Linked DNA regions of Drosophila melanogaster. The protein of the gene in region 2 interacts with the protein of the main gene of each other region in a pairwise test. Each region holds a gene or a part of one and is shown on either strand. Other genes may lie near its edges.

Evidence for each region. Proteins that work in one complex are often made in the same cells at the same time.
Region 1: the proteins of Taf11 (region 2) and Taf13 interact in a two-hybrid assay, tested with the Drosophila melanogaster proteins (2 studies listed by BioGRID).
Region 3: the proteins of Taf11 (region 2) and NC2beta interact in binary tests that used the Drosophila melanogaster proteins (3 or more experiments, as listed by UniProt).

Annotation. Positions count from the first base shown.
Region 1 is NT_033779.5:20,092,588-20,096,396, reverse strand, and holds Taf13 (TBP-associated factor 13), read left to right. Parts: upstream 1-2,547; 5' UTR 2,548-2,628; coding exon 2,629-2,673; intron 2,674-2,736; coding exon 2,737-3,079; intron 3,080-3,150; coding exon 3,151-3,173; 3' UTR 3,174-3,285; downstream 3,286-3,809. Other genes in the region: nesd (nessun dorma), read right to left, coding at 232-394, 458-1,958, 2,044-2,188; Pyroxd1 (pyridine nucleotide-disulfide oxidoreductase domain 1), read right to left, coding at 3,286-3,809.
Region 2 is NT_033779.5:9,761,064-9,766,204, reverse strand, and holds Taf11 (TBP-associated factor 11), read left to right. Parts: upstream 1-2,942; 5' UTR 2,943-3,030; coding exon 3,031-3,299; intron 3,300-3,361; coding exon 3,362-3,683; 3' UTR 3,684-3,781; downstream 3,782-5,141. Other genes in the region: ppk18 (pickpocket 18), read left to right, coding at 1-46, 100-426, 480-589, 646-848; und (uninitiated), read right to left, coding at 1,008-1,435, 1,557-2,369, 2,471-2,576; zf30C (zinc finger protein 30C), read right to left, coding at 4,064-4,640, 4,706-5,141. UniProt on the Drosophila melanogaster protein: The TFIID basal transcription factor complex plays a major role in the initiation of RNA polymerase II (Pol II)-dependent transcription.
Region 3 is NT_033779.5:15,005,074-15,009,038, forward strand, and holds NC2beta (negative cofactor 2beta), read left to right. Parts: upstream 1-2,739; 5' UTR 2,740-2,844; coding exon 2,845-3,396; 3' UTR 3,397-3,465; downstream 3,466-3,965. Other genes in the region: DCTN5-p25 (dynactin 5, p25 subunit), read left to right, coding at 752-799, 888-1,187, 1,245-1,466; Ankrd49, read right to left, coding at 1,572-2,083, 2,133-2,268; THG (tRNA-histidine guanylyltransferase), read right to left, coding at 3,609-3,965. UniProt on the Drosophila melanogaster protein: Bifunctional basic transcription factor. Activates transcription of DPE (Downstream Promoter Element) containing promoters while repressing transcription of promoters which contain TATA elements.

The sequences.
Region 1 (3,809 bases), about 10 Mb from region 2:
TGTTAAAGGAAGTATTTTCTGGAAGACGCTCTGAGACGGTGTAATATTATATATTAACTAACTTTATCAAGAGTTAAAACCAATATGTAAGGTTTCGAGAATAGGACATCCAACGAAATTGCAACATCGAGACACTGGAGTTTGCCCGTATTATTTATTGACGCATATCAATAGGATTTTCGGTTAGCGCTAAATTTTAATTTATAAACACTATGTGTACACAATGTACCCCTAGACCAATTGAATATTTTCCTTGTTCTCCCCTCCGAGTTCGTCCTCGAGGAGTTGTTGATGCGATCGCTGAGCCAGCAGCTGACCGGATTCGTTAAAAACTCGCACATTTTTCTTGCAGTTGTAAAAGCTGCAATTACCTAGCAAGTTGTCCTCGTTGTAACTAAAAAATAAGGATATAAGTGGTAATTTTTGAACATGTAAAATACAACGTATTTTCATTTACCGCTGAAGTTCGCTGAATTTGTTTAGAACCAGGACCTTCTCTGTTCTTTGCTCTCCCAATACGAAACCATCGGCCAGGATTCCTAAAGCACAGTTTTCAAAACTGCACTTGCTACCCTGCAGATTAACCGAAGCGGATTTCTCCAGCAACTCCAGTCCAGTCTTGCATGTTTTAAACTGGACGCTTCCCAGCTCAGCACTAGATTTCGGTCGCATCGATACACCCACAGCAAAGTTTTCAATTAGGCAACTTTTGAGTTCCACGCTGGCGCCTGGCATGCAGACAATACCCTCTTGGGTGCTGGAGCTCCCATCGCCCAGCAAGCGACACCCTCGCATGGTCAACGTTCCGTTGCGCAGCAGGATCCCTCTACGGACATGACGACAATCCAAAACCAATTCCGACAAGGTATAGTCGCCATCAATGACCAGCAGGGTGCTATCCTCATCGCTCGAGCACACCACAGGCAGCAGGGAAAGATCTGCAGCAGGACTTAGTATGGCTTCCGGCTGAGTGAGTCCCCTTAGGCTGCCATTATCGTTGAGGTGCTCCAAGAATTTGATTGTATGCTCGCCGGGCGAAAGTAGAATATCATCGTTGCTCTGACAGATGCTCAGGACATCCTGCAACGTATTGGACAGCTGCACTTTCGATTCCGGCTTGACCAGCGTCTGGGCCAGCTTTAGCAGTTCCAGCTGCTGCTGCAGTTTTCCCGGCAAGGTTACCACATGGCTTATGGAATTCCGCTCTACCAAGAGATCCTCCGATTGTCTGGTTCTTCCTGAGGAGCAGCGAAGCCGCTTGAGGCTATTAGACTGTAGCTCGCTGTAGGCTCGCCTCATTTCAGGATTTTCAAGGATCTCGAACTCGCTCCTTATGATGGCCATGCGCAGGTGCAGGCACATCAGATCTGTAACCGGCAGACTGGACACATTGAGACAGCCATTGGCACTGCCCGCTTTAGATTGCTTTCTAGCGGGCTCTGCTACGCTGTCATTGAGTTCCACAGCCTCGTCGTCGCTCTCGGCATCACTGAGATCCAGTTCCAAGTAGTCCAGACGCTGCTGAATGTATTTGGCTTCGGCGAGCAGGGTGCGCATGTGCAGGGCCAACGGACGGGGCAGTCGGTTCTTGCTGAGATCGCACACTAGTTGGATACGAGCCTGCAGATGCTGTTGCACCCAGTCGCGATCATCGTCGTAGTCCTTGTCCCAAGGCATCCACACATGCGTATAGAAGAACCGCAAACGATCGATGCATTCAGCGGTGGTATCCACATTTAGAGCTGCGTTCTCCTGCTGCACAGTGGGCCACAGCTCCACTAGCGATACTTCATTACTCTCCGGCAGGTGGACATCGCTATCCTGCACGGCGGTCACCACAAATACCGCCTTGAGCTCGTCAAAGATCACCTGCTCCACGTAGCCGTAAACAATGGTGGGATAGCGTAGTTTCAGATCCTCGCAAATAACGCGTGGAATTTTCCAAATTGCCTGCCATCCTATATATCCCATATAGATACATATATGTATATATAGTTGCCTTTTGTGCACGAGTGTGTGTGTGTGTGTGTGTGGGTGGCTTACCTGCAGGCTCAATTTTTAATTCGACGTAGGATTTCCACTCGGATCGAACCTGGGATGCGGGCATCACGGCTCCCTCCCACGAAAGCACCGCCTCCGCTTCTTTTAGGCGCTCCAAGTACGATTTCTCAAAGGTAAACACTTCCATTTTCCCCTTTTGAATGAACGATGTGTTCGTTTATAAAAATTTTTGAAATGCGTGTGCAAGCAAAGGCTTCGATAACGATTGTTCGGGCGGCGTTATCGCGCAGTGCAACCATGTGTTGAGTTTGGCTAGATTTTTACTCGTGGCTATAATTTAAGCACCTATATAAATATATTTTAGATGTATTTTGTATGGTCTTGAATAAATTCACAATTTATTTAATCACGAACCAAAATATTTAGATTTGTTGACAAGCTCAGATATTTGAAATATGAGCTCGCAATCTAGCTATTTCGAGTTAGTCTCAGTATCAGCTACCTTCTCAACCAATTATCGCCAGCAGTGCTGCAAGTATCGATTACAATGCTCATTCAATGCGGTGTTACTCGCGTAAACACAAAATTTGTATACAAATTCAACGTTTTAATTGAAGTCTGAGCACTATGGCCTCAAATAGCATGCCAGAGGAGAATTTCGAGGGCGGTGATGTAAGGAAATATTATAAGCACCAGTTCCAATGTCTCCGATTCTAAGCTAATCACCATTTTTAGTTCAACTTTGATGACGACGCGGAGGATGACCAATTTGTGGCTACCAACTCAGGACGAAAGCGCCTATTCAGCAAGGAGCTGCGCTGCATGATGTTCGGATTCGGAGACGACAAAAATCCATACACGGAAACCGTAGATCTGCTGGAAGACCTGGTCATTGAGTATATAGCTGAGACCACTCACCGGGCAATGGAGATCGGTCGAACAGGCCGTGTTCAAGTCGAAGACATTATCTTCCTGGTGCGCAAAGATCCCCGAAAGTACGCTAGGGTGAAGGATCTTCTGACCATGAACGAGGAGTTGAAAAAGGCACGAAAGGCCTTCGATGAGATCAAGTATGTGGGTGAGTATTGCAAAAGTTCGACATTTCCTAAGAACTACATGTAATCAACCATTTAAACGAATAATTCCCAGGCACCGAAGGCAAGCTCAAATGACAGCGGTCAAAAAAAGCCACACCAAATCCAGGTATAAGCCAAACCTAGCAGTTAGCTCCAAGATGCGAATTATTTTTAATGTCTTTAATACTCTAAGCTAGCGCATAATAAACTAATCAAAATAGTCTTCAATGTCAATGTCGGGATTAAGAATATCATCGCCATAGGGCTCCAAATCAATGCCGTTCAGGATGAGGTTCTCGCAGGTCTCTGCGAGATCAGTGTTGCCGATTAGCATTGCTCCCCGTAGTCTGCCATTTTGAAGCACAAACTTGATGTATTCCTTATTTCTCGTGCAGCGCACCAGAATTTCGTAGTCCCTGCCCAAATCCTGACCATTAAAGCGTCCCAGCAGGACAACAGGATATCCGAAAAGTTTGGTTACGTGGCCAAAGAGCTCGAAGCAGAAATCCTGGTACACGCTTTCACCTTCACTGGCAGCCGCCATACTCCTGCCCGCCATGGAGCCCATTTGGCGAGCCTGAGTCCACAGGCGCATCTGGAACCAGTGCATTGCGGCTGGCCAGTTGGCCGTGCACACATCACCGGCCGCAAAGACATCCACCAGATTCGTACGCATCATTTCATCCACCGATATGCCACCATCGTCGGAAAATTGAAGTGGCGAATCACACG
Region 2 (5,141 bases):
TACGACGTTGTTACTATCCCGAAGAAGGCATGCGGTTGCTGAACCAGTAAGTAATTAGAAACCAATCCGCGGAATACCTGGTGAACATCGTTCCTACAGATCGTACTACTCCCTGGACGAGTGCCTTCTGGTATGCCGCATGAAGAGCATGATCGATCATTGCGGCTGTGTATCTCCGCCCTTGACCGGCAGTTCCATGGATCTCGACTATTGTATGCTTCCCGATCTTCCATGCCTAATGAGATGGAAGAGCATTTGGTATGGCTACAGTGACTTCGCCTACCTGCAGAACAAGGAAGAGAACTTGGTCCAGAGGCAGTGCGAGCACTGTTTGCCCACCTGCAACGGAGTTAGCATGAGTATCACCACCAACGTGGCTCCTTTGAGACGGACTTATAATAGCAGTGGTTACTTTACCGGGTTGCTGTAAGTGATGTACCACAATTTCTTTGATAAATAATGAATATCGAATATTTTAGAAAGGGATTGACCAACGAGCGACCATTAGCCATTATAAAGCTTTTCTTTAAACTGCGCTTTGCCCAAGCCACAAAATCTCAAATGGTTAGCAGTTGGGTTGTTCTGCTAAGTGAGTACAGTAAATAACTAAGACGAGTAGTTAAAAAATATTAACTAACCCTTTAGATCGCTTTGGAGGCATTCTCTCGCTTATGTACGGTTTCAGCATAGTCAGTTACATAGAGATCCTGTACTATCTTACAGGCAAAGGATTTGTCTACATATACAGGTCATTCTTATTAGATAAGGAGCCTATCAATCACAACTATTCACTTTACTGGCGTGAGCTCCGTAGCAATCTGCCAAGACAAGAACAACTTCGAAAATAATCTCACTCCGCTTATATTCTGAGCATAATACATTGTATATATAATTCGGTTGGCGCATGCTCACAAAAAATCAACAATAGAATGAACTTATATCAAAAACCGTATATAATGCAAGCCATACATCGCCGAAAATCGGTCACTGTCCAGTTCCTCATCCCACTAGTAGTCGTCGCCACGGGAAACGACTTCTTTGCAGGTGGGTCGCAGCATAATTGTGTGTTCGTACTGAGCCGTGTAGCAGCCCTTAATGTCGCACAACGGCGGATAAGCCTCCACAATGCCCTTGTCGCACAGATCCTTGAGAGCCATCTGGTACTTCGTGGCACCGGCGCGGTCCAGCCAACGCTTGCAGAAGGCCAGGGTGCCGAAGTTTTTGTTGATGGTGCCAAGCAGCTGCTTGGATGACTGCAGGCGCAGCGGCACAAACGGCAGATCAAAGTTCTTCATGTAATGCGAGCAGTCCATATCGTCATGGACCAGACCGCGACCCGTCGAGCCGAACGTCTCAATGGCGTAGAATTCATCCTCCTCCATGCGAGTGGACTCTCCGCCTTTCACAATGGGCACCGTTTTTCCAGCATGAATGCCTGAGAATTTAATTTTAGACTTCATTAAGTGTTTGCACAAATCACAATAAATTTAAACAAAAAATATTAAGGAAAGCATAAGCATATTTAAAATATTTATAATAAATAGATTTTTGCTTACGGTACGGGCTGATGGAGTGTCCATTTAAGTTGCGAATCGCCTTGATGGGATATGTTTTGCCGTCCAACTCGATCTCGTACGACTCCATGACCTCCTGGATAGCGGCGCCGATGTCGCATAGGCGCACATCGATGCCCGCCTCTCTGATGCCCGTGTTGGTGGCCTCCTTGACGGCCTGCAGCAACTTGTCGTACTTGTTGTTGAAGGTCAGGGTGAAGGCGCAATCAATGATCCGCCCCTTGATATGGGTACCAAAATCAATCTTGCACACATCGTCGTACTGCAGTACAGTGGGGTCTCCGGCATTGGGCGTGTAGTGGGCGGCGCAATGGTTAAGAGAGCAACCAGTCGGGAAGGCCAAACCAGCCTCCAGACCATTTTCGCCGATCAGGCGCCGAGCAGTGTTCTCCAGCTCCTCGCAGATTTGGATCATGGTCATGCCCGGCTTAATGTAGCGCTGCATATACTGACGCGTCTGACGATGGGCCTCAGCCGCCTGGCGCAATTCCTGGTAGATGTCCGTGTTGATACGGTCCAGAGCACGCTTCTCCTCCGATGTGAATCGGTCCTTGGCCGTACGATCGTCGGGCATATCCTTGGGCGTGGGGTGCTCCACGATCTCGCCCTCGGGGAAGTTGCCGTCCGGATAAAGCTTAGCAATGGGTATGGTGGGCGGATCAGTCTGACCGCTTTTCTTGCCCTTGTTCCCCTTCTTCTTTGCCGGCTGAGCGGCCGGTGTTGCCGGTTTGGCATCTCCGTTTGTGGTCAGCTCCTCGTCGCCGCCTTCTCCGGAGGCTATTTTGGCTGCCGCTTCTGTGGGCAAGTGGTTAGTTCAGTGGGTGGTGGGTGGTTGAGGCGGAGAGGGTCGTGCAAATGCAATTACCACAGTGCACTGCTCGCATGAGGTCACTCACCTTGGCGGAGCTTCTTGTTGTTCGGCTTGGGCTTCTTTTGTTTCTTGACCTCCTCGCCGATCTCGGGCGTTGCCGCCTCCACATTCAGAGTCTCGGTTGCAGACATTTCGCAGTGCCTTGGTTGCTGGCTGAACGATGAAATAAACGAAAATGTAGCGCGCACTCTTGCCTGGCGATGGCGATGCGGAGAAAAGAACAAAAACACGAGGTGTCAGAGGCCAGTGCTGTAAAACGTGCTGTGGACTATCGGAACCAGTGAATGTTCAATTTGAAATTTACATAATTTGACTTTGAGCACTAATTTGAAGAAAAAAAAAACACTACAAAAATAAAAGTTTATCGAATATTGTATATTTATATATTTATTATTTATTAAAATCTCAAAGCCACCTTATAAACAACTATGATATACCTTTAATATATTTAATCCGATATTTTGAATTATATTCATCTATTATGTGGTGCGGAACTTTTGAGTGTTGCAAAAAGCGAATATGGTGCAACTCCATCCCTGGTTGATTTTGTTTATTATTCGCTGGTGCTTTTCAAATTTCATTTAAATGGACGAAATCCTCTTTCCCACGCAGCAAAAAAGCAACTCCCTAAGCGACGGCGACGATGTCGACCTGAAATTCTTCCAGTCGGCCTCCGGCGAGCGGAAGGACAGCGACACCTCGGATCCGGGAAACGATGCGGATCGTGATGGCAAGGATGCGGATGGGGACAACGACAACAAGAACACGGACGGAGATGGTGACTCTGGCGAGCCGGCGCACAAAAAGCTCAAGACGAAGAAGGAACTGGAGGAGGAGGAGCGCGAACGAATGCAGTAAGTTAGCTTAAAGCGATTCGAAGGGGTAATCCTATAAAAACTATTTTATTCCACTCCAGGGTTCTCGTTTCCAACTTTACGGAAGAACAGCTGGATCGCTACGAAATGTATCGTCGCTCTGCCTTTCCCAAGGCCGCCGTCAAGCGTCTAATGCAAACTATCACCGGCTGTTCCGTGTCCCAGAATGTTGTGATAGCCATGTCCGGCATTGCGAAGGTCTTCGTCGGCGAGGTTGTGGAGGAAGCCCTCGACGTGATGGAGGCCCAAGGTGAATCCGGTGCCCTGCAGCCCAAATTCATACGAGAGGCAGTGCGACGACTGAGGACCAAGGATCGGATGCCCATAGGCAGATACCAGCAGCCCTATTTCAGACTGAACTAGCGAGTCGAGACATTAAGAAATATAGTTTGTAAGGCTGTTAGTCAATATAAAAATACATAAACAAGTAAAAAGTAAATAAATATAAAGATTTTTTTAACAAATCCCATATAATTAATTTTCTCTATTACGAATAAATTCCGAAACGTGTTTTTATAAGGAAATTTATTTTTCTTAAATGTTTTTGACAGGTCCGTATGGCGTTAAACCTTCATCTACATCAATTTTATGTAGCTTATTTACGTTCAATGTTATTTAATTAATCCAGTCATTAAGTAGATATTATTATGTAGTTGTCATCCCATTTGTTGTACAGTAGAATACGCATCCGTTTACAAAAGAATCTTTATTGAGTGGGATCGCTAAATGAATGTGTTCCGAAGTTACTCCATTCGCCGGGCCTCGGCTTGCATGGTCTGCAGTACGATGTGTGGCACCAGGTGTGTGGAGGCGTAGTTCAGGGGCACCGTGGCCAATGGCGCTGAGCCGTCAGATGGGAAGTTGAGCTCCTGTGCCATGGGCATGTCCCTGTCGATGACATCCTGGGCGATCAAGGTCTTGGTCTCCTCGTACTCCATGCCCGCCTCCGGCTTAGCGCCCATCAAGAGTTTTCCGCGCTGCACGCCCATGTACTGGGTGGCCTTGGCATTCAAAGGCAACTGGCCGCAGGTATCGGCATGCACCTTGCGATGTGCCTGCAAGTTGGAGATGCAAGTGAAGCGCTTGCCGCAGTTATTGCACAGGAAACGCTTAATGCCCGTGTGCACGGTCATGTGGGTGAGCAGACTCTCCCTGTACGGATACTCCTTGGGACACAGGTGGCACTTGTACGGCTTGTAGTCCGTGTGGCGCGTCTTCAAGTGCGACTTGTATTGCGCCTTCACCTTGAATGTTTTGCCGCACTTATCGCACTGGTACGGAGTGTCTGCCTTGTGAAGGAGCATGTGCGTCTTGAGAATACTGCGGAAAGGAAGATGCGTTACTAACAGTCTTAGAATAAACATTCAAACACAAATAGTTATTACCCAGCGGTGGACAAATGTTTGCCGCAAACGCTGCAGCCGTAGAGCGGTAGACGGCCGCAGTCAGAACGAACGTGGTCAGAGAGCGATGTGCGTCCGGTGAACTTCTTGCCGCACTTGTCGCAGATGAGGTTGCGCTGCTGGCTGCGCGGCTCCTTCTTCGAGTGGAAATTGCGTTCGTGGTTCTTGAGGCTGTCGTGTCCGGTCATGTACTTGTCGCATTTTTCGCAGTAGAGCAGTTCCTTGTGCTGGGCCCTAGCATGCTCAGTGGCCTGTTCCTTGGTGGCGAAGAAGAGGTTGCAGTAGCATGGGCACTTGAAAGTCAGCTTGCCATCTTCGCCATGCACCTTCATGTGGGTGACCAAGCGCTTCTCCACCAAATAGATCTTGCTGCATATGGGACACTTAAAGACTTCCTCGTCCAGCTTAGCATGGACGT
Region 3 (3,965 bases), 5.2 Mb from region 2:
GACATTCTTTAAGCGTAGTTAAATCATATATGGAAAAGCCCGCAAATCCATAGCTTTGCTTACTTCTGCAAAATGTGGAGAGCCAAACGAAGAAAATAGTAATGAAAACATAAACAAATTAAAATGCTGCCAGAGCTGCCGCCGCTTGAGGCATTCGAGCGTGCCCCGCGAAGGTTAAGCCAATGGGCTGGGTCTCGCGATTATTAAGGAGCGCATTAATTGGAACTTCGTTGGAGCGTCGGACAGCGGGAAGTTAAAAGTTTTGGAAGGTCGGTGCGTCAATGGGAGGCGGCGGAGCTTACTGCGCTTTCAGCCAACAGCTGTGTGAGTTCAATTATGCACATTCTTTTCGTTCTGCCAGCAGATTTGCGCCTGAAGAGCAGCTGTCTAGATGTGCATCGTGATTTGAGAATTATGGCTAAAAGTTCAGGGTCAAAGTGGGTTAAACACCTGGGTTTTCTATGCACCCGCCAAGGCAGCTTGTAATTTGTAAAACTTCGCGTGTGTCTAATTAATAATTAGATGTAATGCCAAGCTCTTCAATGGAAAATCAATGGAATGCAACGAATTTGAATTCAAATTTGGCGCCAAGCTAATGTGGTTTAGGTCTTGACTTAACGCGTTACATTTGGTATTTTACCAACTATACACTGCGACCACACACATCAGCTGGTCGAAATATTTTCGCAAGTGCAGTTTCACTATTTTATTTACTTTACTTAAAAATAGTTTTTAAAACTGCTGATTAATCATGGAAATTCCGGATACCTACTACAGCAAAGATGAATACGTAGAGACGGCAAGTATTCGCACTGACTTCCGCTTTGGGATTCCATTTAAGCACTAAGAGATGACCTCATCATGACCAAAAAACTGATTGTTTACAGGCTTCGGGTAACAAAGTTAGTCGCCACACGGTGCTCTGTGGTTCCCAAAACATTATTTTGAACGGCAAGGTGATCGTACAGAGCGGCGCCATCATTCGCGGCGATCTGGCCAATGTCCGGACGGGAAGATATTGTGTGATTGGCAAGAACTCCGTCATCCGACCGCCGTACAAACAATTCAGCAAGGGAATCGCCTTCTTTCCCATGCACGTCGGTGAGCATGTTTTCGTTGGCGAAGGAGCAGTCGTCTCGGCGGCCACCATTGGATCCTATGTGTACATCGGCAAGAATGCCATCATAGTAAGCTATTACTTATTGTTATACCCTTGTAATCCATTTACTTTTACCATCTTTCAGGGCCGTCGCTGTGTTTTGAAAGACTGCTGTGTAATTGAGGATGGGGCTGTCCTGCCGCCAGAAACTACCGTGTCCAGCTACATGCGTTACACGGCGAGGGGAACCATCGAGGGTGGCCAGGGCAATCCGTATTTTGTGCCCGCCGCCATGCAGGACGAGATGATCAACTACACTAAGTCATTCTACGAGCATTTCGTGAGGGCTCCAGCGCCAGCCAGCTGAAAATCGTGGTGTCTACCAATTCCATCGACAGAAAACATTATTTATGAAATAAACATATTATATTAGTTATTCTATAAGTATGCGCATAGTTTGACTATTAAGTGATTAATCTATCAGTCCCGTTTCGCAGTCGTAGGCTTCCTCGCCGGACTCGAAAATGGGAAAACTCATGCCAGTACGACGGGCAATCACCGAGGCCAGTTCCTCGGAGTTGTTCTCCTTGCGCGGCTGGATGTATCGGTCCAGCAGAAGGACCGTGGCCGTATTCCGACAATTGGACACAGTGGCGGTTATGTGAAGCGGCGTCTGCTTGCCGTCCGATTCCGCATTTACATCGGCGCCAAACTGCAGCAGCAAATGGGCGCAATCCGCATTGTTCCACTTGCAGGCGGAGTGCAATGGCGTCCATCCCAGCTCCGTGCGGGCGTTGGGATTGGCATGGTACTGCAGCAGCAACTTGGCCATATCCACAAAGTTATTATAGGCAGCTCGGTGCAGCGGCGTGTATCCGTCGTTATCCTTGGCGTTCACGGTGTCTGCGTCCAGTTTTAGGATTTCCCGCACCTCGCTGATGCGGTTCTCGTTCACCGCCCACAGAATCATGCGTTCAATGCTGCCTATGATGATGTTTAATTAAACTATTTCTCTAAAATGTATTCTACTTACTTTGTGGGTTCTTGTCCTCTTCGATCAGTTCGTCGGCATCGTCGTCCCAGCCGCTCACGAACATTCCGCGCGGCACTTTGGCGTGGCGCAGCTTCTCCACCTGTGATTTTTCATCATCGGAATCGTAGTCCCCCATTTTGTGGTAATATATTAATAATAAGCCGGAATTTAAACAGCTCAACTTTTTGTTTTCTATTTCTCAAAGTGACCGTTGCTTAGCCGCTTAAGTACACTTAAAAAAATACTAAACACTTAAAAATATACTAAACGAAGAGTGGAGTTTTAAAAAGAACAGTACATTTGGTTTTTCAAATAAAAAAAAAAAAACTATTTATATAAATAATGGTAGGAATTATAAAAAAATTATTCTTTTATTTGAAAAGTCTGCCATTTAAAAAAAGGCTGTATTATTTATAATATTCATCAAAATCAAATTAATCAAAGATTATTAAGCCATTAAATTTGTGTTGAATACATAAATGATATACATCATTTTATATCATCATTTATATATTTTATTTTTAGCTATATATGCTTTATATAGTTCATTTCAATCAATTAATGATTTCATTTATTTACAAAAACAATAATTTTTCGATTACATTTTTCTGTTAGCAGTAAACGGCCACTCTAGCACACTATACTAGTAAATCCGAGAAAAACATCTGCTTCCAAGTTTGTTTGTTTGTTTGTTCCTTGAAACCAGGACGCCATGTCGAATCCGCAGGAAGAACTACTGCCGCCCAGCGCCGAGGACGACGAGCTGACCCTGCCACGGGCCAGCATCAACAAGATCATCAAGGAGCTGGTGCCCACGGTGCGGGTGGCCAACGAGAGTCGCGAGCTGATACTCAACTGCTGCTCAGAGTTCATTCATCTGATCAGTTCGGAGGCCAACGAGGTGTGCAACATGCGCAACAAGAAGACGATAAACGCAGAGCACGTCCTGGAGGCGTTGGAACGCTTGGGTTTTCACGACTACAAACAAGAGGCGGAGGCCGTTCTGCACGACTGCAAGGAGGTGGCAGCCAAGCGAAGGCGCCAGAGCACGCGCCTAGAGAACCTGGGCATTCCGGAGGAGGAGCTGCTGCGCCAGCAGCAGGAGCTGTTCGCCAAGGCACGCGAGGAGCAGGCGCGCGAGGAGCAGCAGCAGTGGATGAGCATGCAAGCGGCAGCAATGGTGCAGCGACCACCGCTGGCAGACGGCTCCGTTGCCAGCAAGCCAAGTGAGGATGACGATGACGATGACGACGACGACTACTAGTAGGAAATAGTCTTTCTATGAGCTTAGTGTAGATTTAATCTTAAAATATATGCCATAAGTTGAACTTTCAACTATTAGCTACTCTTCATTACGGATCATCCGTTTGTCCTTCACTCCAGCAGCCTGGGCACCGCATCCTCAATCTCCGAAACGACTTCCTTAGATGTATCGTAACTTTAATCTTTAAAAATGCAAGACTATTCGTTATTATATCAGCTGGTACCAGCCAGATTTTGTGGCTCCTCCGCCTCATTGTCATCCTTGCCATTTATTTGCATCTCCACCAATCGGGGAAAAGTTTGTGGTGCGTCGTATGTGCCTGGCACATATTTTCCCAATATTTCGGTGTGTTCCTTCCAGAACTGCGAAGATATCAGATCCTCGTGCAGCGGCACCACGGCCTGCCTGCTCTTCTCACCCAATATCACGCGTTTTCTCAGCAGAATCGTTCCCTTTCTGTACATTGCCGGCAGATTGTTGTAATTTATCCCGAATTCCTGGAAGAGCAGCTCATTTTTGTCCGCCGAAAAGGTGCCACGGAGTTTCGCCTCGGCTTGCTGGTTCGTCAG